Rhinolophus ferrumequinum: one gene and its partners. The protein of the gene in region 2 interacts with the protein of the main gene of each other region in a pairwise test. Links are inferred from orthologs where the notes say so. Each region holds a gene or a part of one and is shown on either strand. Other genes may lie near its edges.

The links.
Region 1: the proteins of SNRPA (region 2) and QKI interact in binary tests that used the Homo sapiens proteins (3 or more experiments, as listed by UniProt). The link is inferred for Rhinolophus ferrumequinum from reciprocal best matches to the Homo sapiens genes SNRPA and QKI.
Region 3: the proteins of SNRPA (region 2) and TRIR interact in binary tests that used the Homo sapiens proteins (3 or more experiments, as listed by UniProt). The link is inferred for Rhinolophus ferrumequinum from reciprocal best matches to the Homo sapiens genes SNRPA and TRIR.
Region 4: the proteins of SNRPA (region 2) and NDUFAF3 interact in binary tests that used the Homo sapiens proteins (3 or more experiments, as listed by UniProt). The two-hybrid records come from large-scale screens. The link is inferred for Rhinolophus ferrumequinum from reciprocal best matches to the Homo sapiens genes SNRPA and NDUFAF3.

What each region holds. Positions count from the first base shown.
Region 1 is NC_046286.1:103,614,435-103,622,301, reverse strand, and holds the start of QKI (KH domain-containing RNA-binding protein QKI), read right to left. Parts: upstream 3,006-7,867; 5' UTR 2,505-3,005; coding exon 2,363-2,504; exon of another isoform or gene 2,315-2,362; intron 1-2,314. UniProt on the Homo sapiens protein: RNA reader protein, which recognizes and binds specific RNAs, thereby regulating RNA metabolic processes, such as pre-mRNA splicing, circular RNA (circRNA) formation, mRNA export, mRNA stability and/or translation.
Region 2 is NC_046298.1:39,328,469-39,336,111, reverse strand, and holds the start of SNRPA (U1 small nuclear ribonucleoprotein A), read right to left. Parts: upstream 3,007-7,643; 5' UTR 2,851-3,006; intron 2,405-2,850; 5' UTR 2,383-2,404; coding exon 2,310-2,382; intron 1-2,309. Other genes in the region: ACTMAP (UPF0692 protein C19orf54 homolog), read left to right, coding at 3,975-4,291, 6,279-6,347, 6,872-6,996, 7,318-7,447, 7,535-7,605. UniProt on the Homo sapiens protein: Component of the spliceosomal U1 snRNP, which is essential for recognition of the pre-mRNA 5' splice-site and the subsequent assembly of the spliceosome. U1 snRNP is the first snRNP to interact with pre-mRNA.
Region 3 is NC_046301.1:48,815,031-48,822,386, reverse strand, and holds the start of TRIR (telomerase RNA component interacting RNase), read right to left. Parts: upstream 3,009-7,356; 5' UTR 2,927-3,008; coding exon 2,588-2,926; intron 708-2,587; coding exon 630-707; intron 335-629; coding exon 227-334; 3' UTR 1-226. Other genes in the region: ATPase GET3, read left to right, coding at 4,422-4,582, 5,406-5,553. UniProt on the Homo sapiens protein: Exoribonuclease that is part of the telomerase RNA 3' end processing complex and which has the ability to cleave all four unpaired RNA nucleotides from the 5' end or 3' end with higher efficiency for purine bases.
Region 4 is NC_046300.1:7,226,958-7,233,385, reverse strand, and holds NDUFAF3 (NADH dehydrogenase [ubiquinone] 1 alpha subcomplex assembly factor 3), read left to right. Parts: upstream 1-4,341; 5' UTR 4,342-4,796; coding exon 4,797-4,873; intron 4,874-4,973; coding exon 4,974-5,166; intron 5,167-5,322; coding exon 5,323-5,389; intron 5,390-5,487; coding exon 5,488-5,588; intron 5,589-5,667; coding exon 5,668-5,784; 3' UTR 5,785-5,919; downstream 5,920-6,428. Other genes in the region: DALRD3 (DALR anticodon-binding domain-containing protein 3), read right to left, coding at 1-28, 136-197, 286-356, 689-802, 907-968, 1,053-1,309, 1,425-1,720, 1,802-1,966. UniProt on the Homo sapiens protein: Essential factor for the assembly of mitochondrial NADH:ubiquinone oxidoreductase complex (complex I).

The DNA of each region.
Region 1 (7,867 bases), on a different chromosome or scaffold from region 2:
TAACATAACACTAATAGAGTAAACCACATTAAAAAGAAAAAATATACATATTATTTAGAATGTATCACCCTCAACTAGTAGCCTCTAACATTTAAAACTCAAGTGGTTACTATTTCCAACCAGAGAGAAATGAACATTTGTTAGAGATAATGACATAATTGGAATTCTAGATTTGGAAGATTAAAATTATTGAAGCCAGAAAAATTATTGAGGTCAGAAACTTTCTAACAGAGAACCAACTCCGAATTATCATTTAGAGGTTTTAAGATCAACATAAAAGCAAAAGCGAAGAGCCTTTTAGAACTCAATTTACTTTTAAAAATAGTACGCATGAGGTGAAAATATTTCCAAACTTTTAAAAATAATCCCTTATGCCATTTGATTGAATTTAACATTTTAAAATTAAAAGAATGCAATTTAATCTTAAATATCATCATGGCCTATTTTCATTTTAACGACTATAAAGAATTCCTGCTAAACAACTGTACTTAAGGGGAAAAAAAAATCTTAACAGAAATTTTCACTAACACTGAGACAACTGTAACTTCACCAAAATATGCCAACTAAAAAATAGCGTATTATTTTTGAAATGTGATAAAATTGTCCCAATAATTTTAAAGTGTTTTCAATGTTTGTAACTACATATATGATTACAAAATGACAGATGAAATAATCTACTATGATTTAAATTTCAACTAAATTTAATATAGGTCAGATTATTGACATTACAGTTTGCTCCAAACATTTCTCGTTTTAAAAAAAATAACTGGCGCCCCTTAGCGCTCACATTTGGAAATACTCGATTTAAGAGTTCCAGCCTTTTTTTTTTTTTTTTTTTTTTTTTTGACATTCCAGAAAGTTTTCTGCCTCCACAATCTTTCAAATGCCAACACAAATAGGAAAAGCAGAACCCCTTAAAGGGACAGCTCAAGTTTTCTCTGGAGCAATTTGAAATTAAGAGATTTGCTGTTTCAACAGTGGGGGAAAAGACCATTTCAATAGCGGTTGCTGCTGCTTGTTTAACCTATGTAAGCAAAGACGAGGACTCAGTAATATCTGTTTTGTACTTTAAAAATTGTTTCTATGATTTTCAAGACAACGGAAAGCTCCTGGGATTCCTCTTTAACCATCTTTTATCACGGAAACATTTCCGGTCTTTTGTTCTTTAGTGACATGCCAAATCTCTAAGCTTGATTCCTTTTCCCCAGTTCTATACTGTAAAAATCACGAAATTCTTGTGAAAAATCTAAAATCCATTGTTCATCACTATTAAAGTTTTCAGTTTTCTTTAAACAGTCCTTCGGTGATGCTTCTAGACATAAAAAGAAACTCTTTGGTACTCGACTTTCAAAATAGACGTTTTTGTTGGTCATATTTTTTTCTCTAGTCCAAAAAATTCACAGCTACTAGATAGAGATTAATATTCCAGGTCAGGGCTGCAAGAACTTGTAAAGAAATTCTCGAGTTGGCCAAAATTGATCTTGTCATTCTTCACTCCCCGCGGCCCTACACGGATAAAGCTTTCTCTTTTTTTGCAAACTTTCACTAATTTTTATTTTCGCCCTTTCAAGTGCCTTGATTTCCTGTCCTACAAACCAAGGCAGCGGCGTCCTCGGGAGCAGCTCTCCGCCGAAGTTCTTTGAAACTCGGGATTCCGTTCAGCGTTTGTCCTCGCGGTATTTCGTATTCAACACCCCCCCCCCCACCCCAGTGAAGTTAAACTCCCGAACAGTTCTCTCGCTTCCCCAAACAAAAGGACAAAAAGTGCTTTCCGCTGTCATTTTGTCCTCGCCTTCGGCTAAATCAGCATTACTTTCGGTCTCCTATGGAATTCCTTTAAGTTAACGAGCCCCACGCGGCTCCCCCCGAGTATTTACAAGCTACACAAACTCCAAATCAGCAAAAGCCCCACTGGAATCTCCGTGTTAGGAGACCCCCACCCCGAGCGGCCCCGAGGCCGGTGTCCTTCAGGCGCCCGCGGGGCGCGGGGCCGGGCTCCTCCCCGGGAGGCCCGCGGAGCTCCGGGCCGTCGCGGTGCTCCCAGGCGCGGCTGGCAGCCGGGGGCGCGGGAGGCTCGCCGTGCAGCCTCCTCAGCGCAGCCCTCGGGCGGCGCGGGGCCCGGGGGCTGGGGGGCGTCCCGCCGGTGGGTCCCGCCCGCGCCGCCGACCCCCGCCCGCCCGCCGCGCCCCGGGCCTCGGCGCCGCCTCCGTGCGCCCCGCCCGGGCCTCACGGTCCCCGGGCGCACGGTCCCCTCTGGCCACGACCTTCCCGCCCTCCCCACACGCTGGCAGGAGCGCGTCGGGTCCCGGGAAGAGGGGCCGCCGCCCGGGCGCGGGCCGCGAGGGGCCGGGAGGCGACTCACCTTCGTCCAGCAGCCGCTCGAGGTGGTTGAAGATCCCGCAGAAGTTGGGCAGGCTGCTCATGAGCTTCTTGTCGTTCATCAGCTGCATCAGGTAATCTGGGGTGGGCTTCGGCTTCTCCTTCGTTTCCATTTCCCCGACCATATTCCAGGCTCCGCAGCTCACTCCGCCCGCCGCCGCCGGAGAGGAGGGAGGGGCGGGGAGCCCCGGCCGCCGGCCGCTCGGGACTCGGCGTCCCGCTCCGCTTCGCTCCCGCGCCGGGCGCTGGGGCGGCCGGACCGCGCGCTCGCCGCGCTCTCCCCGCCCCCGCAGGCACTTTCCGCCGCGGCCCGACGCGCTCCCGGCCCGCCGCCGCTTCTCGGCCGCCGGCTCGGCGCGTCCCTCACGAGGCCGGCGGGCGGGAGGCGGGTCTCCGCGGGCCGCTCGGGGCCGGACGAGGAAGAGCCGGGCCGCCGCCGCTCGCTCTGCTGGTCGCGCCCGCTCAGCCGCCGCCTGTGCCGCGGGCTCGGGGTCTCTCCGGGCTGGTCCCCGCCGCGGCCGCCTCTACCGTTGCCGCTGCAGCCGCGCTCTGACTCCGCTCCTCCTCTTCCTCCTCCTCTTTGCCGCCTCCTCCTCCTCACTCACTTGGCCGCGGAGTTCGCCTCAGTTCAGTCGGCGCTGCCAGCGGCGGCGGCGGCGGCGGCAGCGGGGGGAGGGGCGGCGGCGCAGGGAGGGCCGGGGGCGGGCGGCGGGCGGCGGGCGGGGCCGCGCAGGGCGGCCGTTAGCGGGGCGGCCGGCACGCTCCTCCTCCCGCCGCCGCACGCATCCCCCGGCCCAGGGGCCGCCGCCGCGCCGCGTCCCCCCCCGCGGGGTGGGCGACGGGAATGAGGCGGCGCACTGCGAGCCCGGCCTGGGCGCCGGGCCGGGGTCGCCGCCGCGGGCGGATGAGAGCGGCGGGAGGGGCCGGTGTAGGGCGGAGGGACCGACGTCCTGAGGAGGGCGCCGGGTGGCGGTGCTTTCGACTGGGGCGGGGGCGAGTGCCGCGCCGCCTCGCGCTCCCTGCCGCCTGGCCGGCTCGTCTGGCGGGCGCTGGCGGGCTGTGGCGTTAGGTGAGAGGGATTCCCAGCAGGACGCGCCAGGGCTGCGCTCGCCGCTGCCCGACCTCATCCTCTCCTCCCGTTACTATAGTTTTCTAAAAAGCTCTCATTCCTCCTCTCCTCCACCTCCCTCAACCCCCCAAATTTCTTTTATTTATTTATTTTTTTTAACGTCCTGTTGCTTCAAGGGGGACTTTCGGGGTGGGCGTCACGTGTCCCGACACGTAGCCGTAAGGTGCAAGGGCGCGTGCGCGTGTCGAGGCCTGCGGCCACGCCCCTTCCGAGGGTCGCCCCGCCCCCGCCCGGCTCCGTGAGCGAGGGGGAGGATGGGAGGGGCCTGCCGCGCGCCTGCGTGGGGAGGGGGCGCGCCCCCAGGGGGTAAGGGGGAGGGGTGTGCGGGCCCGGGTCTGCTGGCCCTGGTGTGGGGACCACAGCGAGGGGTGCGGGGCCCGTCGGACCCCGAACGGCCGGGACGGGGACGGGAAGCCGAGGAGGTCTTTGCTCCCAGGCCCCGGCTATAATGTTTGTGCGGCTCCGGGTCCGCCTCCGCGGGACTTGTTCGCGGTGGGCTCCGACTGCCGCGGTGTGGCTGAGAGGACCGCACGACGACTCCTAGTGTCCCCGCGGTCTTCTCCGGTTTTGAGAGCCGCGCGGCGGACGGAGTCTGAGGAGCGGCCGGTCTAGCGTAGGCGTCCCTCGTTGCCCCGACGGCGTTACTGCTGCCCGTGCAGTGACCTGTCCGAGCGGTGGGCGCGTCTGTGGGGACATGGTGTGCTTTGCTGCCGCATTCCGTTATTCCGAGAGCCAGCTATGGTCAGGAATGAGCTCCGCGGCGTTGGAAATTCTGAGCATCGAGAATGGCGTTTGCAATGTTCTGCTTCGTGATGGCAGCGGTATCCAGTAATAAAATGCAGCCACAGTAAAGAAATGAAACACAGAGCATATAGCCAATTTGAAAAGCGGAAGTCAACATTCTATTTGCAAACTTGCAAAAATTACCATGCAGTGGTCAAGAGGCTTTTCCCTGCAGTATGATGGATTTCAAATATTTAGGTTAGTTTAGGAAAGAATTTTCTGAACTACAACAATGTAGTAGTTCTCTTTGGTTTCTGCAATGTTATCAGTCACTAAATCTGCATTTTGTGACGTTCAATTAATAATTTAGATACAACTATTTGCTATCAAACTGACCATTGTGAGAGTTACCTGTACCTGAAATTTTCTGATAATCGTGTGTACTGTGTTTTAACTGGGAACCTAAGTGGGGGGGGGGGGGGGGGGGGTTGGGGTAAAATTTTGCTTCAAGCAAATTCTTAGGAACTTTTAAGATTGAGTTGCACTGAAGCTACTAAGTAAATTTCAAATAAATTCTCTTTGGCAAGTAACTTCTGGCCTGTTCATTTGAAGAACACAGTGAGTTTTTAAAATTAAGCTACTTTGATAGAGGAAATGCAATTGCCTTGGTGGACAAAGTTAACGTTTAACTCTCAAATAAGTTACCTGACATCCATTGCAGTTAATAGCGCCATAGAATATTCACATACTAATTATTTAAAGGATGAGTTATAAAAATGCAAGAAATAGTGATTTCATCAAAAAGCTGTTGTCTCTTTTAAAACTGAAGTAAGGTGTGCTTCTTCAATACCTAGCAAAATGATAAGTGGTTTGAAAGGGTTTGGGTAGTAAATTATTTATTTGATCTGCTAGTGTAAAAGATTCAGTCCCCCTTCTTAATTGGTTCACCTCCATATTAAACTCCTAGGTCCTGTGCTAAGTGCTTTACATGTGTATTATTTAATCTTCACTTCAACCTTGTGGCGTCGGTCATGCTGTTATCCCCATTTTATATAAGGGGAAACCAAGGAGAAGGAGGTTAAGTAACTGGCGCAGGACTGTAGCTCATGAGTCCTAGGTCTGGGATTCAAATCCACTTATATTTTACTCAAAGCCCATGTTCTTTGCACCCCAATAAGTCACACTGAACCTTTTGACAGTGTTTGACCATTTTTGACCCATAGAAACTGGAATATCATATGACTTCACCACGTACTTACTTATAGGAGGTGAACCAGATCAGAGTTAAAGAACCAAGACAGGCACTCTTTGGTAGTAAATCCCTATGGTTACAGCATTTGGCAATAGTAGTTACTCTGTATTAGCTTTTCAAATTCACATGGGTCACTTCACCTCTCTGCTCACAGTTCTTCAATGGTTTCCCCTCTCCAATAAAAAACCCGAAGTTCTTACCAAGGCCTGCTTACCAAGAGTCCATGTGCTCTGACCCCCTGCTGCTTCGCTGACCTTATGTCCACCCCTCTTCCCCTAGACCCTAAAATTCCCTCCCCTCCCCCATCCTTAAACAGGCAAAGCATTGGACACAGTGGGTGGCTAGTAAACATGCTTGGAGTATTCCTGACTAATTCTAGGGTGAAAATGCTCAAGGTGATTATGCCAAGGTCCCTTCCTGTAGTAGGTTTTTCTATCTGGATCTCTTTAAGAAAAAGGGGAAGTAAAATCCTCTTCCTGAGTTTGTTGGGCTGCGCACTGGGTGTTTCCTCTCCTTGCAGTTTTCCCCACACACCTGCAAGCCTGACTCCCACCCTTTCTCAGTTCTTGATGGGAGAAGGCTTCCCTTACCACAGCGTGCGCGCGCACACACAGACTGCTTACTCCCCTTTTAATTCTTTAAATAGCATTTATTTCCACCTGACACATTCTGTCTATGGGTAGGTTTGTCTGTCACCGACCCCTACACGGTAAGCTCCACAAGAGCAAGGACTCAATTTTGTTCTATTTGGAATTCCCAACACCTAGAACAGCATGTGGTATATGTTTGCACTCTTTAAAAATATGTTCAAAAAAGGTATTAAGTACTGTTATGTTCCAGGAACTATGCAAAACCCTTATCTACATTATTTCTTGTAATCAGTACAGCAGAGGTTTGAGACGGGCGTGAAGAGCCAGGTGCCTCATTGCACACAAGGCCACTATCCACAGTTCCCGTCCTTCTCTCCGTCACACTCCTGCCTCCGGCATTTGAGGTCTATAGTACACCACTCACTACCCAACATATAATAAGTGCAGTGAGAATACAAAAATCACTTGCCTTCAAGATGCTTAAAAATCTAAAAATTAATGTGGACTCTTCAATCACATTATTACAAACATATCGTAATACGACATTGACAAGTTACAACATACTCAGAATATATGTATGGGTAAGCTTCCAGTTGGAAAGATCCTTATAATGGTTTTTTGTCGTTGTGAAAAATTATGTCATTTAATATGTTGACACTAAAATGGTTCCATATCAAACATCAGTAATTAACCATGAGTGGGAATAATATTTTCTGTTCTAAATTTGATTTTCTATTTGCTTATTGCTATTCTTGACATTTAAATAGAGAATTATAGTATTCCACACTTTTTTTTCTTCATCACCATGGAGTTCTTGCAGGAATGCAAATATTCCTTGGATTTAAGAATCAGTCTTTGATGGCTTTTTGTCCCAAATGTTCTTTCTAAAAATCTTAAATCCTTAAATTTTCCTAGGAGGAAATGGGACATTCCCAGTATCTTTGTAAAGTCAATCTTTGTTTATTGTCTTAATAGATTTTTTGAGTCTCCTTTTAAATTGTGAGATGGCTTATCATTTCAAAGGTTGAAAAGGACACATTTTAAGTGTGAATATCTTAATCAATAAATATTTGAATACCTGTCTTCAATGAACCCTGGGGCACTTAGGAGCTAAGCTGAGGGTTAATATCACACACATATGACAAGTTAACTAATAAAAGTAAATGATATTATTATTCAGCTTTAGCTTCAGGTGTATACTGCAGTGCTCAGGCACCTACACCGTCCATGAAAAAAAAAGTAAATGAGAAAGACAAAATGCTGTAGGAATGGAAATGAGCACTGCCACTCCAGGCCTGGAAGCCTAAGCAGAACTGCCCCGGAGGTGGGTTTGATCTCAGGCTGGAAGAAACCATACAAGTGCTCAGGGAGGGCACTGACAAAAACTTGGAAAGTGGGACAGTCTGAGGCTTTAAGGTAGGAGTTTCCTCAACAGTAGTAGATGCCAGATTTTGGTTGGCCCTGAATTTCAAGCTAAAGTATTCATAGAGAAGAGACGTAGGAAGTTTCTTTTTTAATACAAGGAAATTAATCAATAAAATAGTACCATGGATTCCAGTCAGTGAGGCACATTTATATCTGATTGTGCAAACACAGCATTCATAAAATAAAAGGCACTGTTCTTCACAGCCATTCTAATGCTAATTGTGCTGCCTTTTTAAACCACTAACATGATGGCTGCAGATGTAATACTAACATTTAGCTTAAACCACTGCAGAGCAGTTAAATGTTAACTGACCGTGTCAGGTTTCTACTCATTTGACCCTAAATGAAACTTCAGAGGTAAAAATATTC
Region 2 (7,643 bases):
ACAATGGCCTCCCCTCTCTCAGGCCCGTCACACCAATTCTGCCTTAGGACCTTCACACTGGCTACTCCCTCTGCCAGGCACACCTTTCTCCTGTGTACATGGCTGCCTCCTTTTAGTCACCCAGGTCTCAGCAGAAATGTTGCCACCTAAGTGGCCTGCCCTGACCACCCGGTCTAAAGAAATGCCCCCTCCTGTCACTCTCCCCTCTCCTCATACCCTACTTACTTCTCCAAAAACATTTGCATGAATAGATACCATTACGCAAGCGTTTTAAGGAAAAGTCACCAAATGCTCACAACCACCCCATGAGGGAACAACTACAACTGTCCCTTTTTTACTACTATGGAAACAGGGTCTCAGAGGATTTGTCACTGGCCTAGGAGTATCCCAAGGATTCTGGGAAGATCCTGTAGAGTTGGGACGCAAGCCCATTTGAAACCAGTATCACCACACCTCACTAGCAAACCGCTTCACTTGACAGCTGGAACAGGGTACCAATCTTATGCAAAGAAGGTATCTGAGATGAAAATGCCTGATGAAAAAGATAGTAAATAGGAAAAAGATAGTAGATAGGAAAGGGAAGAAAATGCGTGGGGGAGTGGGGAGAGTAGAGAGAAAGCAGAAGTGTTTTAAAGCAATTAGCCAAAATTCTCCTGATGATATTTCCGGGTTTTGTTTCCATGCTTCATCCCCTTGAATCCAGTTTGGGTCTCAGTCATTCCCCTGGACTCTGGCCCACTCCCTCCAAAGCTGGGAAGCTCTTTCACAATTAACTGAGTTCCTTGCCTGGCTTCCCACACCCTCAGGATGAAGTCCAACGCCTCACCCTGCCCACAGAATCCCATGAGCCATCAGTGCACGGCTCACTGGAAACTTCTCCTTGAGTCACAGGCGCACACACAACTATCTGTAGTTCTCAGAATGCCCTAGGCTCTTTTGTCCCTAGACACCTGTACATGCTGGTTCAGGTTAGGAACATTCTTCTCTCTCATCCTTATAAAATAAATACTATTTTTGATCCACAGTTAGTAATCTGTGTATGCAGAGGGCCGACTTAGGTTATACATGGATTTTCGACTGCATGGTCGGCACCCCTAATCCCTGCGTTCTTCAAGGGTCAACTGTACTGCTTCCTCTACCTGGAAAGCTTTTCTAAAATATCTTTTTTATGAAACTCAATGAAAGCCTCTTTCTCAGTGCCCAATCCCAGCCCTGTGCTTCCCCAATCATGGCCCTAGCTACTCTGGGCTATCACTGTCTGCTAGCAGGTCTCTCATCCCCACAGGATTTGTGGCTCCATAAAAGCAGGACCAGGACTGTTGCAGTCATCAGTGTATCCCCAGCACCACAGGATATTGCCTGAGCACCATGCTCTAAAAGCATATGGGTAACTTACACAGTTTATTTTGTTTTCAACAGCAATTTTACTGGTAACCTCAAATTTAATCCTATCAATCTCCTTTGGTTCTCCCCACAATGTTCCTGAAGTAATCATCAGAGCTAACATTTAACCAGCCCTTACTAATTGCTAGGTACCATGAAAAGCACTGCATGAACGCTTAGCTAATTTAATCCCTGTAACATCCATGCAAAGAAGGCATTATGGTTTTCAAATATAGAAAATGAGGTTCAATAAAAGTGGTAACTTGTTGAAGAAAATAAAAAAGTTATGTCTGATGTTAAGAATTAAGTGAAGCAGAATTCCACACTGGTGACCTCAACCACTTTTATATTTGCTGTGTGACCTTGGGCAAGTTACAGTTCCCTAATCTGAGAAATGGATTAGCTCCTACCTGCAGGGTTGTTGTGAACATTAAATGTAATCAAGATTTATATATCAGCGCCTCATATAGTGTTTGTTAGTCATCATTATTTATTTCATTTTCACTGCTGGCTGATCACTGAAAACACAACAGTGACCAAGCCAACTCCAGTTCTTGCCCTCATGGAGCTCACAGGCCAGTGGAGAGAGCCCCATGACAGCCCAGGCAATCAAGGCTTGAGGGGGTGGTCAGGGGTTAAGGTGGGACATCCAGGGCCCGTAGGATGGTAGAGGCAGGCACCTGAGGGGGTAGCAGATAGAGAAGCCTTCCAGGAGGAGGGCTCTTGTGAGCTAAAACCCTAAAGGATGAGCAACAGTGACTAGGTTAATGAGTAGAGCGTAAAATGAACTGGGAGAGTATTAAAGCCAGAGCAAGCAGCACGTGCAAAGGCCGATGTGTCAACATTTTGCCCTGGAGAACGCTGTGGAAAAGAAATAGCCGGCTTATAACGGACAGCATGGAGTCTGGACTCCCTCAAGAACTCACCATCCTTCTTGATCTTCTCATTGAGGTTATTGATATAAATAGTGTGGTTGGGGCGGGTCTCGGGAACTGCCATGGAGTAAGGTGCTGAGGTAGGGCTGAAAAAGAAGGAAAAACAGAACTTCAACCCTGAGTTTCTCCAAATCTCTTGTCCCAAAGCGGACTTAACGGACTGCTTAGATCTTAACGGATCTTCCTTCCAGGACGAGGTCAGGTAAGGCCGGGAGAAGGCAAGAGGAGAGCACTCGCTTTGTTAAGCAGTATACCGCGTGTCCCCCGCGCGTGGTGAGGGAAACCTCGAGGTTTACTACGAGTCCCAGGATGCTCTACGCGATTCAATAGACGGAGCGTCCTGACCGGCGATTCCCATTGGCCCATGAGCTCAAAGCCGGCCCAGGATAAAGAACCCAGATGTAAAAGCCAGTTAAGGAGGGGCGGCTTTGCGGCGGGAAAATAGTTTCCCTACACAAGGCTCAGGAACACCCAGGCGCCAAGCGCTCCGCTCACCCGATGCCGATGGCTACCTGCGCCCGAAATCACTCACCAACAGAGCCGCAGCTCCAGCAAGGGGTGCCTGCTACGTTTCTGAGCGCCGACCACGAAGCTTCCTCTTCTGGTTCCGCCTGTCTTTCTGCGACCCAACCACTGCACGTAAACTCGTTACGTTGACCAATCAGATTAAGTCTCGCCCCGATCTTACCAATCAAAGCTCGGCCCAGAAATTTGCCAATCAAAACGGCACTTGGGTTCCCGCCTCGTCAAGAAAACCCCGCCCACCCCCTGCAAGGCCTCCTGCCTTCTGCGGCGCTCCGGGCTACCGACCAATCTGTAAAGGCTGCGCCTCTAGCCAATCGGGACGTGGCTCGCGCTGCAGTCTCTTCCGGACGCAGTCCTTTGGAAGTCCCACTTCTCTCCCATCGCCCCGAGTTCTGTGTCACGTGATCGCTAAAGGGACGGGGCCCCGTGCGAGCCCTACCACGTGATAGGGGAAAGGGCGTGTGCGGCGGCCGCCATTTTGCGGGAAGTGGAGACGCGGTGCACCGTGACTCTTTTTCCTATTCCAGCGGTATCGCGGCTCCCTATCGCCTCCCACCTCTGAGCCTTGTTTATCCCACAGACTTTTCCTGTTGTGCTCTGATTCCAGGACCTTCACGACTAGGCCATTTAATCTGCCTGATGTCTTTTTGACCTCTAACTCAAAGGTCAGCTGGAAGGTTCCGAACTCGGGCCTGGGATGTGAGGAGGGACAGAGCCTAAAATTCTACTTAGTCTTTAACCCTGGGCCTCTAAAACCCACCCTTTAGGCGCCTCACCCCAGGTATGAGCCTTCATATTCCAAAATTGACCCCCAAGTTTCTAAGTCTAGCCCTGTATAATAAATGAATTCCTACTAAATCTTCAGCCTTGCAACCCAACTGCGTAACACAAATTTGATTTCTGGTCCTGTTTAAAGGGCCCCGCCCTGTTAATCTTCAGATCTTTCCTGATTTAAGTCAGCGCCAATCCCTGCTTCCATGGTTCCAAATTTTAACCCTGGTTCCTTCAATACCACTGCTCAGCCCCCCAGTTCCAGGACTGCACTCTAAAACCTTCAGAATCTCCATCCCTGAGACCACCAATTTTGGAGAATCCTTCACTCTCCCTTCCAGCCATACCTTAGACCCCAAAATGATTTCTCCATGTTTTCCTCCAGTAGAGACCCCAGTCCCTCCAAGACCTCTTGCATCCCAGGCCCCTATCATTCCACCTCCTCCCCCACCTCCGCATTCCCCCAATTTAGCCTTTCCACCCTCTCCCTCAAGTCTCCAGGCCCCTATTCCCCCACCACCCCCACTGCCACCTCCATCCTTTGCCACGGGGGCTGCTCCCCCTCATGTCTTCGGCCTGGAGAAGAGCCACCTTCTGAAAAAGGCCTTGGAGAAGGCCGGCCCAGTCCCCGGGAGCAGAGAGGACGTGAAGAGGCTCCTGAAGCTGCACAAGGACCGGTAGGGTGTCCGTGCCCCACCCCAGCCACCCAACCATCTTTCCCCAGATGGCTTCTGTCATCTCCTCTTGGGGTTTCCTACTTCGAGGTCAAACAGCCTGACTGCTTCAGCCCGCTCCTTAGACCCTTCAGTGGTTGTGTGTCTTTAGCCATGAAGAAAGATCCTCCTTCACAAACACAAGACCAGTGGGAGAGACAGATCCCTCCCTCCACCAGATGGTGACAGCCCAGAGTGGTCAGAGGGAGTGCTGACCCAGGCTGTGAGTCAGTGGGGCCTACGTGGAGAGGAGGACCCCTGAGTGCTGTTGAGCAAGTTATCAGGGTTATGTGATGAGAGTAACCAGCTTGTGCAGAGACCCAGAGTGAAATGAAGATAATGTGCTTTTTTTTTTTGTACGCAAATGTTTTTTTAAGCTGGGAAAGAGCAAACATGGGGTTTCATGGGTGGATCGGGCATGGGGGCCATGCAAAGGAAGGTGACTATCCTGAAGGTACCAGGAAGCAATGGGAGGGCTTTGTGTGGGGGAGGGAGGCCACTTAGTGGGAGTGGAGGTGGTGAGACTGGACTCTGGGTACAGGAAGAAGCTGGAGCACCCAGGGACCCAGGCAGGAGGTAAGGGGGCTAGACTTGGTTGGGACTCTAGGGACTCAGTTTAAAGATTGCCTGGCTAAGGGGAAGAGAAAGAAGTGAGTAGCCCAGACTCATAAGAAACTTCCAGTTTTCTAGGCAAGCTGATAATCTGCCCTAAATGCCTCAATTATAATGAGGCAAAATTAATGTAAATGAGAACACCCGTTGTTGTATGCTTAGCATATACCTGGCACTGTTCTAAGTGTTCTTAAGTACATATTTAATCCTCTCAGCAGCTCTGTGAAGTAGGAACTATTATCCCATTTTCCAGATGAGGAAACTGAGGCTCATAGAAGTGAAGTCACTTGGTTTCAGTGCTTAGTAAAGAGCCCAGTTTGAACTATGGCAAGGGGGCTCCATTTAAAAAAAAAAAAACACAAAACATTTTCCCCCTTTTTTCCACCTCCCGCCCCCACTGCGGTTCAGCCATTGTTTCTCAGTCTAGTTGTGTAGGGCATAGCTCCCTGGCCCATGCTGGGCTGAGGCAATCAGTCACCAGTCGCCAGCTCATGATGGCCAGCGGCAGCTCATGGCAGCACTGCTCACGGCAGCCCAGCTCCAGGGGAACTGTTGTTCACAATTTTAGCTGTAGAGGGCGCAGCTCACTGGCCCATGTGGGAATCGAACTGGTGACGTTGGTGTTAGGATCACGGTGCCCCAACCACCTGAGCCACCAGGCCAGCCCTCCATTCTTTTAAACACTATGCTGTTAGCTCCTTTCATTAGGAGGGCATCCCCTACACCAGCCTTGCGCTTTCACTATCACTATCCTTGGAATAGAAACAGGCACATCTCGCTTCCCCTCTTGTGCCCTGGATGGGGGAGGAATGAATTGGAGTCACCAAAACTGTCAGAGTGGCCTTCCCTAGGGTAGGACTGCGCAGGCCTACAAAGGACTAATTGTCAGGGTGATCTCTAGGCCTGGAGCTTGTTGTCTGGTTTTACTCAAGGCTGATTTAAGGGATTTTCACCTTATTTAACAACTTGAGAAATAGGCTGAAAGGGGAAAAATCAGTTTGAGTACAGAGACACGCCTTCAAGAAATTCCCTGTAATAAATCATTCTGGCTTCTAGTTGCAAAGCTTTTGTACGTCTGCTCTTAACCCCTTCAGTAACTACATAAGAGGAGCGAGGAGACGCAGGTAGAAGGGTCATTACTACTGAGCATATGAGGAAACTGAAGCTGGGGAGGGGAAGTGCCTCGGGTGAAGTGGGCAGTGACCCAGCCAGGAGCTGCCCTCAGGCCTCAGGGTGGCCAGGCCTGTGTTCCTGCTCTTCGCTGTCCTTTGGCACCCACTTCCAGCCAGGCCTCGGAGGGGACTCTAGGAGCTGGTTCCCGAGTGTGGCCCTGATTCAGTTTCAGAAGTGACCTGCAGTGGATCCTCTTCTGTGCCGACCTGCCCTCCTTCATCCAAGAAGGCCCTCAGTACGTTCCCTGAGCCAGAACCCAACCCTTTGGCTGGCCACGCATCAGTAACCCCTGCCTTTGCTGTGCTCCATGAGGCTTGACCTGGGAGGGTGTGGGGAGTGGGTTCATCTCATCCCAGGCAGAGCAGGGAGGACCGGGAGGGGAGGGGAGGAGAGAAAGAGGGGGACCTTATCAGTTCTGGACCCTGGGTGCATGCGCAGTAAACAGTTGGAACCAGTGAGCGAGTGAACACATGAACCTGGTCCATCATCTCTAACTCCACGTTGGCACCTACTCCTTCTGGAAGCCCAGGTGACATCTCTCCTTAGCCTTCCACCCCACCTGTAGCCCTCTGGCCCTAGGCCTAAGCCGTGGCCATTCACTCCCCCATGAAGAAGAGTCAGGTCTCCCCACCTGGGCTGGGAGAGGGGAGGGGAACTCCCTAGGACAGCCAACCTGTTCCCCACACTCCAGCTTCCAGGGCAGTGGGGGCCCAGTTAGGACATGACTGAGGTTGAGGGGCTGGGCCTGTGTCTCCCCAGGTGCGGACTGGTGGCCCTGTGGATGGCAGGCACTCTCCTGGCGCCCCTCAGCGGCATCCCCCTGGAGAGACTCATGCAGATGGCCGTGGAGAGAGGCTACTCGGCCCAGGGAGAGATGTTCTCAGGTGAGATGGGTGCAGAAGGCTCATAAGCCAGGCGTTCTTTACCAGGAAGGGACTGGGGAGGCGGGGTGCACGCCTGCCAGCAGGGGACCTTGTTCCCTTCCTCAGGCCCTTCTCCCCATCCAGCAGAACAGAGTGTTACAGGTAGACTCTGGAGCCAGGCTGCCTGCTCCCAGCCCAGCTCTGCCACCTCCTCCTCTGTGACCCTGGCCAAGCAGCTTACCCTCTGTGTGCCACATTTTCTGCATTTGCAGAAAGAGGTGATGGTGTCATGGTGAAGGTTAGAGGTGGTGATCCCTCACTCTGTCTGCTCTGTCCCTGCAGTGACCGACATGGGGAGGCTGGCCCAGGAGGCACTGGGATGCCAGGCAGAGCTGCTGTGTGGCGGCCTGGGTGGTCCCAACAGAGACCGTGTGCTGCAGCACCTTGTCGCTGGACACCCCTTGCTCGTCCCGTATCCCAGGGCAAGAAGGGAGCAGGCCTGGGTGGAGCAGGGTGGGCCCCGGGGCCACACACAGCTTTGGCCTTAACCCAGCACCAGCTACGATGAGGATTTCAACCACGAGCCGTGTCAGAAGAAGGGCCACAAGGCCCACTGGGCAGTGAGCACAGGTGGGTCCCCACTGTGTCCCTGTGCCCTCACCATGCCC
Region 3 (7,356 bases), on a different chromosome or scaffold from region 2:
GGGGGAGAGAGGACAGTAAACCACTGTTCTATGAAGTCTCAGGAGGCAAGTGCTCAAGGTAAAAAAGAGTCCTGGAGGATCGCCGGCGGCTGCGGGAAGCATCTCGGGTTCCTTCTGTGTGTAAGTCCTTGGGGGGAAAGGCTGCCGCCGCTGCCACCGCTGCCGCCGCATTAAATAGTTATGTACATCGCAGAGTCCCAGGCCGTGGGCAGGTGGGGGAAGGGAGTCATTTCACCAGGGGCCGAGTTTTATCATCGTCGCCGCACTGGTGGGCTTTGTACTTTTTCACCTCTGCCATGTACTTTGCCCATGCATCACCTTTACTTGTTAATACCTGTGGGGTGGGGGGGCACAGGAGGTTGGGAAGGGGATGCCCGGGAGGCCAGAACTGGGATCAGGACTGTCCTGAGACAGCTGACCCACCCCCAGTGTCATCCCAGAGGTCCTAGGTTTGAGGTCAAGATATTCAGAGTCAAGTGATCTGGAGCCGTTGAAAGCCCTCCTCCCCCACCCAGTACCCACATCCAAGGCCCGGAGGCTAGACAGGGAGGGACAGGGCTCATTAGCCAGGTGCTGAGGCTGGAAAGGAAAGGCCACTTGGGCAGCCCCCCCGCACCCAACCTGCTCACCTCATCCTCCGTCTTCTGCTTCTTGGCTACTATTCCCGTCTTGAGGGCTAGTTTGTTCCCGCCTCTGCGCTTGCCCACCTGGGTGAAGGGACAGAAGACTGCAACGGTTACAGGAGCCGGGCCCGCCCTTGGCGGCGCTGAGGCCCACTACACCTTCCTAGCCCGGCCCGGTGGCCCGTCCCGACGCCGCGCCCAGCTCCGCCAGCCGGCCGACCTGCGCAGCAATCAGAGAGGAGCACACGCGACTCAGCGCCTGTCCTGGGCCCATGATGCCCAGGCAATCCTGGGCCCCCGGGGCTGCCTTCCCACGGAGTGAGAAGAACCCCCACATCCGTGGGGATGGACTCTGTCCTCACTCTCCATGCTAAATCCTCCCCCTCCCCTGGCAGTGACCATGCAGGCAGCAACATCTCCCTTTACTGAGCACTTACGGTATGCTAAGCCCTGTGCCAAATGCTTTGAATGTATCATCTCCTTTCACATTCACAGTTACCCTAAGATAGGTTATAACCATCCTCATTTTATAGATGAGGAAACATCTTCGAGAAGGTGAGGCCCCTACCCTTGGTCATCCTGGCAGCAAACAATGGAGCTGGTTCAGGGTCAGGTGGGTCCAAGCCACAGAGCAGCATCCGTAACGACTAAGCAACGCTATATCCCCTGCACCTAACTTGGCCTGGCCTGGCTTCTATAGGGTGCTCCAACAACAGCCCCTCAATGAACAAGGCTGTGACAACTACTGCTACTCCCACTCAAGGAGAGGTACTTGGCCTCTACACATTTCTTACACCATCCCAACCCAGGTACTGACATTTCCCTTTCCTCAAACAGAAGTCTCAGTCTGGACTTTCATCTTGGGCCTCCATCTTCTCCCATTGACTGAGGGCTGCAACAGTCTTCACAGGCATCATCTCCTCCCCTCAACCTGGCAGTAAGTGACCTGCCCTGCTGGGACTAGTCTCACCCATTTTTGGTGGATGATGAAACTTGACCCCCACTCCATTATTCTCGAGTCAACACTTTTTTCTTCACACCACAGGGACTTGATCTCAATACGAGACAAAGCAAGCTCAGAGTAGACCATCAATAAAGGTGCCATTTGTTTCAAGTTTCTCAATCTTGCAGTAATGACATTTTGAGATGGATCCTTCTTTGCTGGGGAATGGGGTGGGGGACAGCGAGGGCTGTCCTGTGCATTGTAGAATGTGGAGCAACATCCCTGGTCTCTACTCAGATGACAATAACACCCCACTCCCCCAGTTCTGACAACCAAAACTGCCTCCAAACTTTGCTAAATGGGGGGATCATCCCCAAATGAGAACCACTGGTTTAGCCCTTCCTATAAGCCAGGCCCCATGCTAACTAACAACTTTTCCAGGATGGCCTCACTGAACCCTCATCACATCAGAAGATGAGACAATGTCCATTTTTCCAAACAGAAAATATGAAGATAGGCCCAGATGCTCAGGAAAGCAGAGATCTTGTCTGTCATGTTCACCAGGGTATATCCAGCACCTAAGCACAATGCCCAGCACAAGGTAAGGTGCTCAATAAATGGACACTAACCGAAGGGGACTCAGGAAGTCAAGAAAATTTCCTAAGTCACACAGTAAGCGGTCTGAGTCTCTATTCCACACATCTTCGACTCCAGATTTGAATCTGCTCCCCTTCCGAATACTGGGAAATGGTCCCAGTACCCAAAGTTCGAGTACCACTAAATAGGAATCCTGGTTTCCCCAGCCTCGGCTCCCGGTTCTCGCGAGCAAGCTCCGGGGCTCTCCACGTCCACCCCCAAAACTCGCGCATCGGAAATCCAGGTTCCGCATCCTCAACGAGTGACCCGGATGGCCCCTTCATCGGGGTCGGAGGGTGGACCTGAATCCCGATCCCTTTTCTCGGGCCGATTCCCCCTGCCATGGCAGGCCCCGGCGCCCGCCCCCACCCCCGCGGCTCCTTACGAAGCTGAGCGTGGGGCCCGGGCCGCCCTTCCTCTTCGGATCCCCGGGACCCGCGGCGGCGGCGGTGGCCTGCTGGTCGGGTCGCGGCGGGCCCGGGGGCGGCTCCTCCTGCCGCTGCCGCTGCTCCTCCTCCATCTTCCGCTTGAACAGCTCGAGGAAGCTGCCGTCGTTGGCGAACAAGTTCACGCCGCCCGACACCGGGCTCGACATTTCTTCATCCCCGCTCTCGGGCGATGTCCCGGGCCCCGACTCAGCCCATCGGCTCCCGCCGCCGCCGCCCGCCGCGGGGCCCGGTGCCTCCCGGCCCGGAGGCTCCGCCCGTCTCCCTCGGGCAGCCATTTTGTCGCCAAGTGCCGCGCAAAGGACTCCGGGAAGGCCGCCTCGGCCCCGCGCTTGCCGCCGGACTTGCCGATCCCGAGCAATGCATGCCGGGAAGAACACTCTGACCCCCAAGCGCCGCGGTGGGGGCGGGGCCTGAGGGGCGGGACGAATGAGGGGTAAAACCTGACTGGCGGACCGGAGGGCCCCGCCCCGCGGACCTTTATAACCCTCTAGATTTGGGCAGGCGTTATGCGTGCAGGGTCTCCCCCGGAGTGGGACCGTCCTCTGGGGCTGTAGCCCTCACGGGACTGGAGGTGCATTAGCTTTACGGGGCTAGAACCTCCTTCTAGCACCAGGAATAATCTCAGTGAGGAGAGGTATCTCCTCTAAGGATGTGTACTCAACTGACACGTTGGAATCTAGGTCCCTAACTAAGTCTATAGAGGGTATCTAGCCTGGACCCCCCCCGGACTAGAAATGGAGGTGTCTGGGTTAGGTACCTGTCTCTGGGATGAAGCTCTCGTTTGGAAATGCGGACACCTAGCTAGCTCCGTGGAGCTGGGGTCCCCATCTGAGAATCAGGGTATTATTTTATGAGCTAGAATATTCAGAAGAAGCTTCTCAGGAGAAGGTATTTCCAAGCTGGGGTAACCCAGTTTATAGTTAAGAGTGTCCGCCAACCGCATGAGAGACCCATCTTGTATTCCTGCCCAGTGCAGAGGTTCAAACAGGGAATTCGCTGGAGTCTTCCCTTCCACAAAGATAAAAGTACTAAGAAGTTTTCGGGAATAGGGTCCCTTCGAAGACAAGAAGCGCGGTTGCAGGTCTGGTCCTTGCCCTGGTCTGCCCAGCATAGGGGTTCAGTGCGCACTGGACAAGGATCTGCAAATTTCGTCCAACCGGAGTCGTTCTCCCTGTAGCCCACTCAGCCCCGAGACAGGTTTTCAGCCAACTAATCAATTCATCTATGGTTGGTTAGCGTCAGGAGCCAGATGGATCACAGCCAATTGGATAAGAGGCGAAGGGCCTGAGAGGATGTTGTGATTCAGTTTGGAGAATAGGGGGGAAAAGATCGACAAGAAGTTGAGCCTATGGAGTCAGGCCAGGGCGGACCTGGGGTCTAACTTCAGGGCATGGACCGGGTGTTTGGCTGGTTGCTAAGGAGAGATTGGCGGCTACCAGGACCTGAGAGTGATTGGTGAAAGTAATAAAAGATGTAGCCAATGAAAAGAACGCTGCGAGACTTAGGGTCCAATCAGTGAAGGGGAGTATTCTGGAACGTACCAATATGTTAATTAGGCAGGGGGAGTCTCTGAGAAAACATAGACGAGAGATCGACAAGGTGAACCCTGGAAGAGGAGGACTTTGGAAATATAGCTTCTGTCAGCTCCTAAAAGTAATGCCATGGGGAAATTAACTCGGGTTGCTAGCCCTGATGGGGATATAACAGAGAATTTCCCCTGTTGGTACTTTGCGTGGTGCGCTCCGCTCGATCACGTGAGCCGGTTCCAAGATGGCGGCAGGGGTAGCCGGTTGGGGGGTTGAGGCAGAGGAGTTCGAGGATGCCCCTGATGTGGAGCCGCTGGAGCCCACGCTTAGCAACATCATCGAGCAGCGCAGCCTTAAGTGGATCTTCGTCGGGGGCAAGGGTGGTGTTGGCAAGACCACCTGCAGGTAAAGAGGCTGCAGCGTGGGCCGGGAAGATGGGTGGGATCTTCCCATCCCACCCATCTGGGCGAAGGGGAGGCTAGGGATCGCTCTTCGACCCCGAGCTGAGCACGGGGGTTGGGCCGGGGTCTTCCGGGTTGCACTCTCCAGAAGTTACCTGGAGCAAATGGAAGAGACCTCCTGAATGCGGGCCTGGCACCCTCTGGGAAATCATCCCCGTTGTGGTTCAAGGGCGGGACCACACTGAACCCAACGCTCGGGGGCCAGGAGAGCACTTAACTGTCCCAGTCAGCTGTGGACCAGAGTGAGCTCAAAGTATAGGGAGGGACACACGGGGGCAAACTATTCTAGTCTGAGTGAACCTTGCCATTCTATGCCCACGTGGAGATAGAAGGCAAGGGCACATGATCAGATTGTCCCAGTCAACTGGGAGGAGAGGGTGGGGTCCCTGGGGCAAATTATCCTGGACAATTGGTTTGAACCATCCTCAGTTTAGCAGGAAGTGCAGGGGACCCCTTAGCTTAGAATTGAGGAGATACAAGGGACTCCTTAACTATGCTGGCTGGACAGCTGGACCATGACTCTCTGTGCCAGGAGAGAGTAGTGAAGAAGCAAGCATCAAGCCATACTGAACCTCACCATGCTAGCCAGCTGAAGGGGTCAGTAGGTGAGGTCTGAGAGGGTACTTCTGCAAAGATTGAGACTTAATTCCACAATTAGCCATATTCTCGAGGCCCGGCCAGCTTCTGGGCCCCACATCTTTCCATGCAGACCTAGGGAGCAGAGCCTAACCCCTCACTCCTTGCCTTTTGACCTTTCCCTTGCCCAGCTGCAGCCTGGCAGTCCAGCTATCCAAGGGGCGGGAAAGTGTTCTGATCATCTCCACTGACCCAGCCCACAACATCTCGGATGCATTTGACCAGAAGTTCTCCAAGGTGCCCACCAAGGTCAAAGGCTATGACAACCTCTTCGCCATGGTGAGTGGAACAGGGCTCAGCTCCCTATTCAAGCAAAGGCCCGTTCAGGCCTTTCCTGTGAACACCTACCATCAGCGACAATGTGCTGCCCGTTCTACATCCTCTGTCTAGTTTCATTCCTTCTTCCACATACCCAGAGGGGAACAAGTGAGGAATGTTTGTGGAGCGGAAAGGAAGCCACAGTGACCAGAACTTAGCAATGAGCAAAGGGAGGGAGACGTCAGAGAGTTGTGGGACCTTATAGGCCACTGGGAGCAGTTTGGCTTTGATTCCAAGTGTAATGGGAAGCTGTTCATTTTAAGCAGGGCACTGTCATGGCCAAATTAATTTTTCAAGAAGTTCCCTGTGGCTGCCATGTGGGGTTTGAATTGTAAGTCGAGGATGGCAGCAAGGAGCCTAGGGCAGTGACTAGGCAAGAGATGATGACAGCTGGAACTCGGGTGTGGGGCAGAATGTTGGGGGAGACATGGTTAAGTTTGGGATGTATTTTGGAAGTATAGCAATATGACTGCTTGGTTGCGATGGGTGAAGGAAAAAAATGGATTAAGTACGTCTCTCAATTGGCTCCTGAGCATCAGGGATGGGGGAGACTAGGAGAGAAGCAGGTTTAGAAGGGACAAATCAGGAATTCTGTTTTGACCATGGTGAATCCAAGGTTTCCACTGGACATCAAGTGGACACAGCAGGATAGTGGCCTTTGGCATTGATTTGGAAGTCATTGTCCCAAAGGTGGTATTTAAAGCTGTGAGTGGAGGAGAATGTGAGAGAACAGAGAGGCCCAGAAACAACCTGAGGTCACATCATCATTTAGGGTCCAGCAATGCAGGAACCACCACTGAAGTGAGAGAAAAGCCAGAGGGTGTGGGCTCCTAAGCTCCAGAGGACAAAGGACTTGGGCAGGAAGAGGTTGTCGGCTCCAGTAGGCGCATCAGTTTTAGAGAGACCACCCTAGAAGTGGGGGCAAAAGCCTGCCTGGAGTGGGTGAGCTGAGGAGGTGGAGACAGGGATTGGGGCCCGCCATGATAGGGGCTAAGAAATGGGGCCATCACTGGAGGGATATGGGAGAAGAGTTATGGAAGGCTTTTTTTTTTTTTTTTTTTAACTTTTTAAATTGATTTTAAGTGTGTTTTTCCAGGACCCATCAGCTCCAAGTCAAGTAGTTGTTTCAATCTAGTTGTGGAGGGCACAGCTCACAGTGCCCCATGTGGGGATCGAACCAGCAACCTTGTTAAGAGCACCGCGCTCTAACCAACTGAGCTAACCGGCTGCCCCCTGGAAGGCTTTTTTGAGAAAAGAGATGCTAGAGCATGATTTTTTTGCTAACACAAATGCTCCAATAGGGAGGGATAGGTAATGTTGCAGGAGGGAGCCGGGATGCTGGCAGAGGATGGTCCTCAGGTGGGCATGAGCTCCATCCAGCACACAGACCCAGGACTTGGACTACGCCAGGGCCAGGGACTCAAAGGCAAGGCCAGGGGTATGGAGTATTTCCGGGGGGCGGGGGGGGTGGCGATGAGGGTATTGGCAGCCAGCGGCTTTCTTTCTCACTGAGGCACAGATGAGGCACAGATCTCAGCAGGGAGCAAGAAGCGAATGGGGCAGAAGGGCTTTGAGGAAGGATAAGATGTGACATCAACACTCCCAAGGGTGGATTGTCTGGCCGTCAAATGCCTGTTGGAGATTTGTGATCAGGAATACGGAGCAAGGTGGAAGTCATTCGTCAGGCGTGTTCCCCTGCTACTCACCTCAGTGCAGTCATACCAGAGAGCCAGGATGGGGATTTTTGCAAAACACAGAAGGAAA
Region 4 (6,428 bases), on a different chromosome or scaffold from region 2:
ACCCTGAAGGTTTCTGTCCAGGCTGGGTCTGAGGGAGTTGGGAGCAGTCAGTCTTCATGGGCAAGGAACAAGGGGTGGGGTGCAAATGACCTGCCCTTGCCCTGCCCAATGCACAGCCAGGCCTCCCAGGTACACCTTCTGTCAGGTCCCTGCTGTGCTTCAGTGCCGAGGCCTTGCAGACCTGCATGTGCCGGAGCCTACATTTTGAAAAGAGTGAGAAGGGGGCCAGTGGCCAGAGTCCCCACGTCAACTACCCTGGCTTGGTGGCCTTCTGGCCTCACTCACTCGTAGTACTCGGGGGCAGTCAGGGTGCCGGGTGTACCAGCTACTTTCACTGAGCCACAGACCAGGTGCTTCTGTCAGGAAAATAGCAGGGGCTCAGCCAGCAGGCGACACCTTCCAGTAATAAAACCCTCAAGGAACTGAAATCTGGTGCTTGGACTCCCCCAGCCTTTTACCACCAGGCGGAGTGCCTCCCTCTCAAGCTCAGCCCCTCAGGACTCAGTCTAGCGATTTAACGTCCTCCGGGATGTGCCTCCAGACCCACCCCACCTTCTCCCAGGACTCCACCTGTTGCACGTGCCCGTTCACCAAGCCCAATGTTTCTCCAAGGTCAAGTGTCCCCGTCTGGACCTGTCAGCTGGCAGGCCCCTGGATGGGTTTTCAGGGGAGCTCTGCCATCACTAACCTGTATGAGAGGAGCCTGATCATCCAGCTTCCACCAAAGCAGGTCCAATTTTTGTTGCTGGAACTCCTCCTCACAGCTCACCACATGTACCACCATGCAGCTGTCGGCACCGGCCTGTGGGGGAGGAGGACAGTCACTGCAGGGACAGAACACCTGCTTTGCTGGAGGCCTGCCTACAGGGTGTGGTGTCAGCCACTCACCAAGCCTCAGGAACCTACCTCAGGCCAGTGCAGCAGGGCTGCCCTCAGCTCAGCCAGCACGGAGAGCAAATCGTCAGTCACTGCAGAGGGAACACACAGGCTGGGACTAGCCAGGACTGCAGGGGTCCCCGCCTTTCTGGCCCTAAATAGGCTCCAGGTCCTACCCAGACAGTTGTCCAGATTGGGGTCATAGCCAGCTGCGCGTCCCCGTTCTTCCAACAGATTCTTCAGGCACACACTGCCCAGAACGCCAGGGGGCAGGGCTCCCCTGTCATCGGCAGGGCTAAGCTCTGCCAGTGCGCGGCTCCTCAAGGATTCGGTCTCGGCTCGCTCCGAGGTAGCAGGCCAGTCCACCCACAGCTGCTGCAGGAAGGTCGACATGTGCGGATCCCGCACAGCGGGCACTAGGCGCACACTCACCCTGCGAAGCGAGGGTGGCCGCTTCAGCCCGAGCAGCTGGCCCGATTCACCCCTATTCCCACCAGGTGCAGCCAGTCCCCAAGGGCCACGCCCTTTGGTCTCGCGTCCCCGCTCACCCGTGAGCATGCAGAGCTCGCGCCAGGTGATCGGCCACGAGTATCACCCGCAGCTGGCTCAGGCGGAGCGCGCAGGGGGCGGCACGCAGCGCCGAGCAGTGGAGGAGGACGCGCGGGCCCGGCGTGGCGGGTGCGGCGGGCGCAGCATAGGCCTCCACGGCGCCGAGCACGCGCTCGAAGACAGCCGACCGCTGCAGCTGGAGCGCTAGGCCTGCGGGGGTCGGAGCGCAGCGCAGCACGGGAGCCACGCCGGGGCCCTGCAGGTCGCTCACCGCATGGAACACACGCTCGGGCACCTGCGTAAGGACAGGCGGGTGAGCGGGCCGCGGGACTCCCAGCTACCCCTGGCAGACCGTCCCCGTCCGGCCCGTGCCCACCTGTCCGTCCCCGAAGCGCGCCTCCAGCGCCCGCCGCGGCGCCAGGAAGTCGCGGGCACGTAGGTGGCGGGAGCGCGTCTCCTTGAACCACACGGGGCCGCCAGGTCCCAGGGCCGCGTTAAGGGCCCCCAGAGTCTCTTCTACCCCAAGGCGCCCCGTCGCCATGACGACCGGAAGGAGCAGGAGGAAGCGGAAGCAAAATATCGGGAGGTCGAACTTCCGGGAAGACCGACTGGCGGGGACGGAGATCCGGCCCGAGTGGGCAGGTGCACCAGGGGAAACAGTAGCGGCTGCTTTCGACAGACTGCCCCGGCGTGGCCCACCTGCCCTGCTTGGTCCCGGGTCCGAAATCTCGGAGTCCTCCGGGACCTACGGTTCTTCGTTACCAACCAGGGAAAGGATCCTCGCGACTTGGTGGGGACTCTTGCTCTTATCGAAGTCTGCGTTTCATTTCCCCATTTTACACATGAACAAAATGTTTAAAGTTCCAAACGAATTGTCACCGGAATAGGGCAGCGAACCATTAATGCCACCTTCACGAGCTACTAAAAAAAATAAATAAATCTCATTTTAAAAAGAATTTGTGTTCCGCGGTTTCAGGTTATTTGCATTTCCTACTTTAGAACATGGGTTGTCTTTATTCCCACTGATAGAATTGCCAGTTTTCTCGTCTTGATTCTTGAGGAATTAAAGCCATCATGACGGTTTCCAGAATTTCCGGCTTTTGAAAGCTTTCTCCTTTAACCTGGTGTACTTTAACAGGGACCTCCTGCTTCCTGGTTTATGCAACGAGCCATTGTGGGCCAACTAAACACTGTGACCATGAGAAGAGCCAGCTAAAGGGCAGCCCAGCTGGAGCTTCCCACTCCTCTGCCCAAGAGAAAGTTCTTTCCTGTCCCCTATGTTTTCACTTCAATGTAACTTAAATCCCCTTTTCCCTGACACAGCACAGAGTGCTGGGAAAACAGTGATCTCTGCCCTGGAGCAGTGACAGTGCCCAGAACTCAGAAGGGAGGGGACCGTAGAGGCAGGAAAAGCTTGGCAAAGCCCCTCTGTGGGCCAGGGCTTCAAGGCCCTCCTGGGAGGCGCCGAAAGAGCACTGGGCGGACACGACATTCCCGATGGCTTCTTCGGTGCCCACTCAACGGGAGTGATCGTGTCATTCCAAAGCGCTTTCTATGCCGCAGGCGTGCGCCTCGGGGACAGTTAACAGGGTTGAGCCTGGAGGCCCAGCTGGGGACTTCAGCTACTCTCCGTATACGAAGACGGTTTAGGTGGTTTTTCCCCAGGAAGTGAAGGGCTATCTTTAGCGAGCTGCGGGCTGGGGCAGCCCTGTGGGACTCACCGCCATTGCAGCCCTATATGGAGGACTTGGGTCCTCCCTCCCTCACCAGTGCTACCCCGGGTTCCGGAGATGGCCACCTCCCAGGCTCTCAGACGTCTACGCCCGTCAATTCCAGCATGAAGGCGCACCTGAGAGAGGGACGGAGACCAGAACGATCCAGTGAAGTATGTCTGGGGCTCAGGGGCTCGACCATCCCATCTGGACCAGGACGCTGCTCAGGCAGGAGAGCAGGGAACGAAATCCAAGCGCAGCTGGAATGCTCTGGAGACAACAGCTGCTTTTGGGATTCCGTTGCCCGCTGTCCAGCCGTTGGGGGGAGGGGTCCCTCGCCCTGGGGCCAGATTAGAACCCCCCTTACCCAGGCCCAGGAGGCAGACCTAGGAGTAGGCAGTGAAACCGAGGCTAGTGGGAACGAGGAGCTCACCTGGGCCCCCAAACAATAGCAGGGGCGGTGGGGACCTCCCCTGGGACCGAGTCCCGATCCGGATTAGATCTGCGGGGTAGGATTGGTCCTGCTGGTCTCATGCAGCCAGAGCCACTTGTGCGGTGACGGTGGCGGGGCGGGCTTCGGGACAGGCAAGAGAGAAGCGCGCCCGTGGGGCCGAGGAGGAAGTAAACCCGCGCGCCCGCCTTGGGGACACCCCCGCACCCGGGGCCCTTTGTCCGGTGAAGCTGCCAGCGCCCAGAGCGCTAGGGGCCCCAGTGGGCCCGTAAGGCGGCGACGGGACCCCTGGGAATCCACTGCGACCGTCCTCATCTGTGCCGAGCTGCCCGCCCGCCCCCGCGGATAGCAGACGCCGCAACGTTCCCCTGAGGCCCCGACACCGTGGGCGCGCGATGTCCGAACACCGCGCGGGCGCCAGTAGGCCCTCTGATTCGGCTCAAACCGGGGACGGGGGATTCTCGGGACGCGAGCAGAGTGAGCGAGGACAGAGCGATGCTCCAGCCGCTGTTTAGTTCAATGTCTGGTCCGGTTCGGCCCGGTCGGTCCCACCCGGACAGCTACAATTGCCCTATCACGGCGTCCCCTTCCGCTACCTCTGGCCGCAGACTGGAGCCATTTTAAGGCGAAACCAGACGGGCACGCCCCCTCTCGCTCCCGGAAAGCCAATCCACGCACGGCCACGCCCCGTGCGGCGCGCGGAGGCGACGGCAACGGTCGCGCGGGTGACGGTTGGGGAGGGGTGTGATTCAGCGGCGAGCGGGGGAAACCTGAGCAGTCCGCCCCGCCCTCGGAACCCGACGCCCCAAAGCCGGGATTAGGGGCTTGGAGACGGGCACCACGCCCTAGCCAGGTGTTCGGGACTGGGCCAGGTGCGCGGCCGCCCCGCCCGGGCCCCCAAAGCCCTGTGTAACGGCTGAGAGCCGGCAGCCAGGCCGCGGCTGGGGCCCAGGCAGTGCCCTGAGGTCGACCCCACCGCCAGGTGTCTGGCTCCCCCAGGACGGTCTGCGGGGGCCCGGGGCGGGCGGGAAGCAGATGCAGACACCGGAGCCGCGCTGGGGGACGCGCCTTTCTGGGACAGATGGCACGGGCCGGCTCCCGCGCTGGGCCGGCCGGGCTGCGCGGCGCCCTCCGCGACGCAGGGGGCGCTGTAGCCGCGCTGTGCTGGGCTCCGCTACGACCCCGCTGACACTGCGCGCGGTTTCGCCATGGTCTCCTCGTTCGTGCTTCGCGCCCTGTACCGAGCGCGACCCGCTCTCCGTTGTCCGCCAGCCGATCTGCTATGGTGAGCCCGGCTCCAGCGTCCCTGACCACCCCGTCCGCCTCGGCCGGCGGCCCCCGGCCCCGCACCTCCTGGCCTAGACCCTGACTGTACCCCTCCGCAGGGCCCCACGGCGTGGGCACCGGCTCACTCCCGCGGATGACGAGCTGTATCAGCGGACACGTATCTCTCTGTTGCAACGCGAGTCCTCGCACACTATGTACGTCGACAGCTATAGCAGCCGCGGCTTCGTGGTCAACGGAAATCGCGTGTTTGGGCCCTGCGCGCTTCTCCCGCACTCGGTGGTGCAGTGGAACGTGAGCCCTTCCCTGCAGTGAGGAATCTGAGGGCCAGAGCCCCAGGGTTGCGGGATTCTGCCCCGGGCAACTTAGCTTTATCGTGGGTCCGTTGTGGAGGTCTGTGGGGAAAGCTCTGTGGATTTGTTGTATTTAACGTGCCTCTTCCCCACACAGGTAGGGTCCCACGAGGACATCACGGAAGAAAGCTTCTCTCTCTTCTGGATGCTGGAGCCGCGAATAGGTATTGAAGAGGCTGAGGTGCTCTGAGCCCCACAGAGCCACCCCCTCCCCAGCCCATCAGCAGACCTGGTTGCAGACTAACTGCCCATCCTTTCCTAGAGATTGTTGTGGTCGGCACTGGAGACCGGACTGAGCGGCTGCAGTCCCAGGTGCTGCGAGCCATGAGGCAGCGGGGTATCGCTGTGGAAGTGCAGGACACGGTCAGTGCCGGGACTTGGGCGGGCTGAGGGGAGCCCAGACCTAGCCCTAGCCCAGCTCATGCTGGCTTTTTCTTTGCAGCCCAATGCCTGTGCCACTTTCAACTTCCTGTGTCATGAAGGCCGAGTGACAGGAGCCGCTCTCATTCCCCCACCTGGAGGGACAGTGTTCACATCTCTGGCCCAAGCTGCAGCATGAATCCCAGGAACTGACCTGACCCTGGCACCTTTTGCAGACTGCAGGGGTCCCAGTGCTTTCATTAGCCCCTCCCCGGTGGCACTGTGATGCTTGTCTTTCTTGCCAGCAAGTTAATAATTTAATGTATTTCTCCCATTTTGTACTAGGTGTGTTGCTTGCCAAGGGCTGCTGGCTCAGTAGGCTCTTGATGGGGGGGAGGTAGAGAAACCAAAGGGTCATCTTTTCATCTAGACCACATGCTCTCAGAAGCCAGGAGGTGGCACACACACCTCTTCCAAACTGCACATGTCTACTTGCTCACATGCAGATTCGGAGGTGATTGCAGTTCTTTCTCCACAAGGTCCAGCAGAGAGTCAAGTTAGAGAAGGTGCATGTGAGTCTCAACCTGGTCCCATGTGGCCAAGCTTTGGGCCAGCAGGAGGCCCTGTGGATGTCAGTCCAAAGCCCCTGGACTGTTCCCTTGACTCGTCCCTTAAGCAGCCAGTCAGAACCTGGGATGGCGCCCCGGGGAGCCAGCTCTTCAGAGCTGGCTTGTGAGCTGCCTCAGGAGGCACTTTTTGAATCTAGAACTACCCCCTTCCAGGTCCATGAGCATCCTTATCTCATGGGGGGTCGGGGGCTGAGGCTTTCCCTGGAAATGAAGG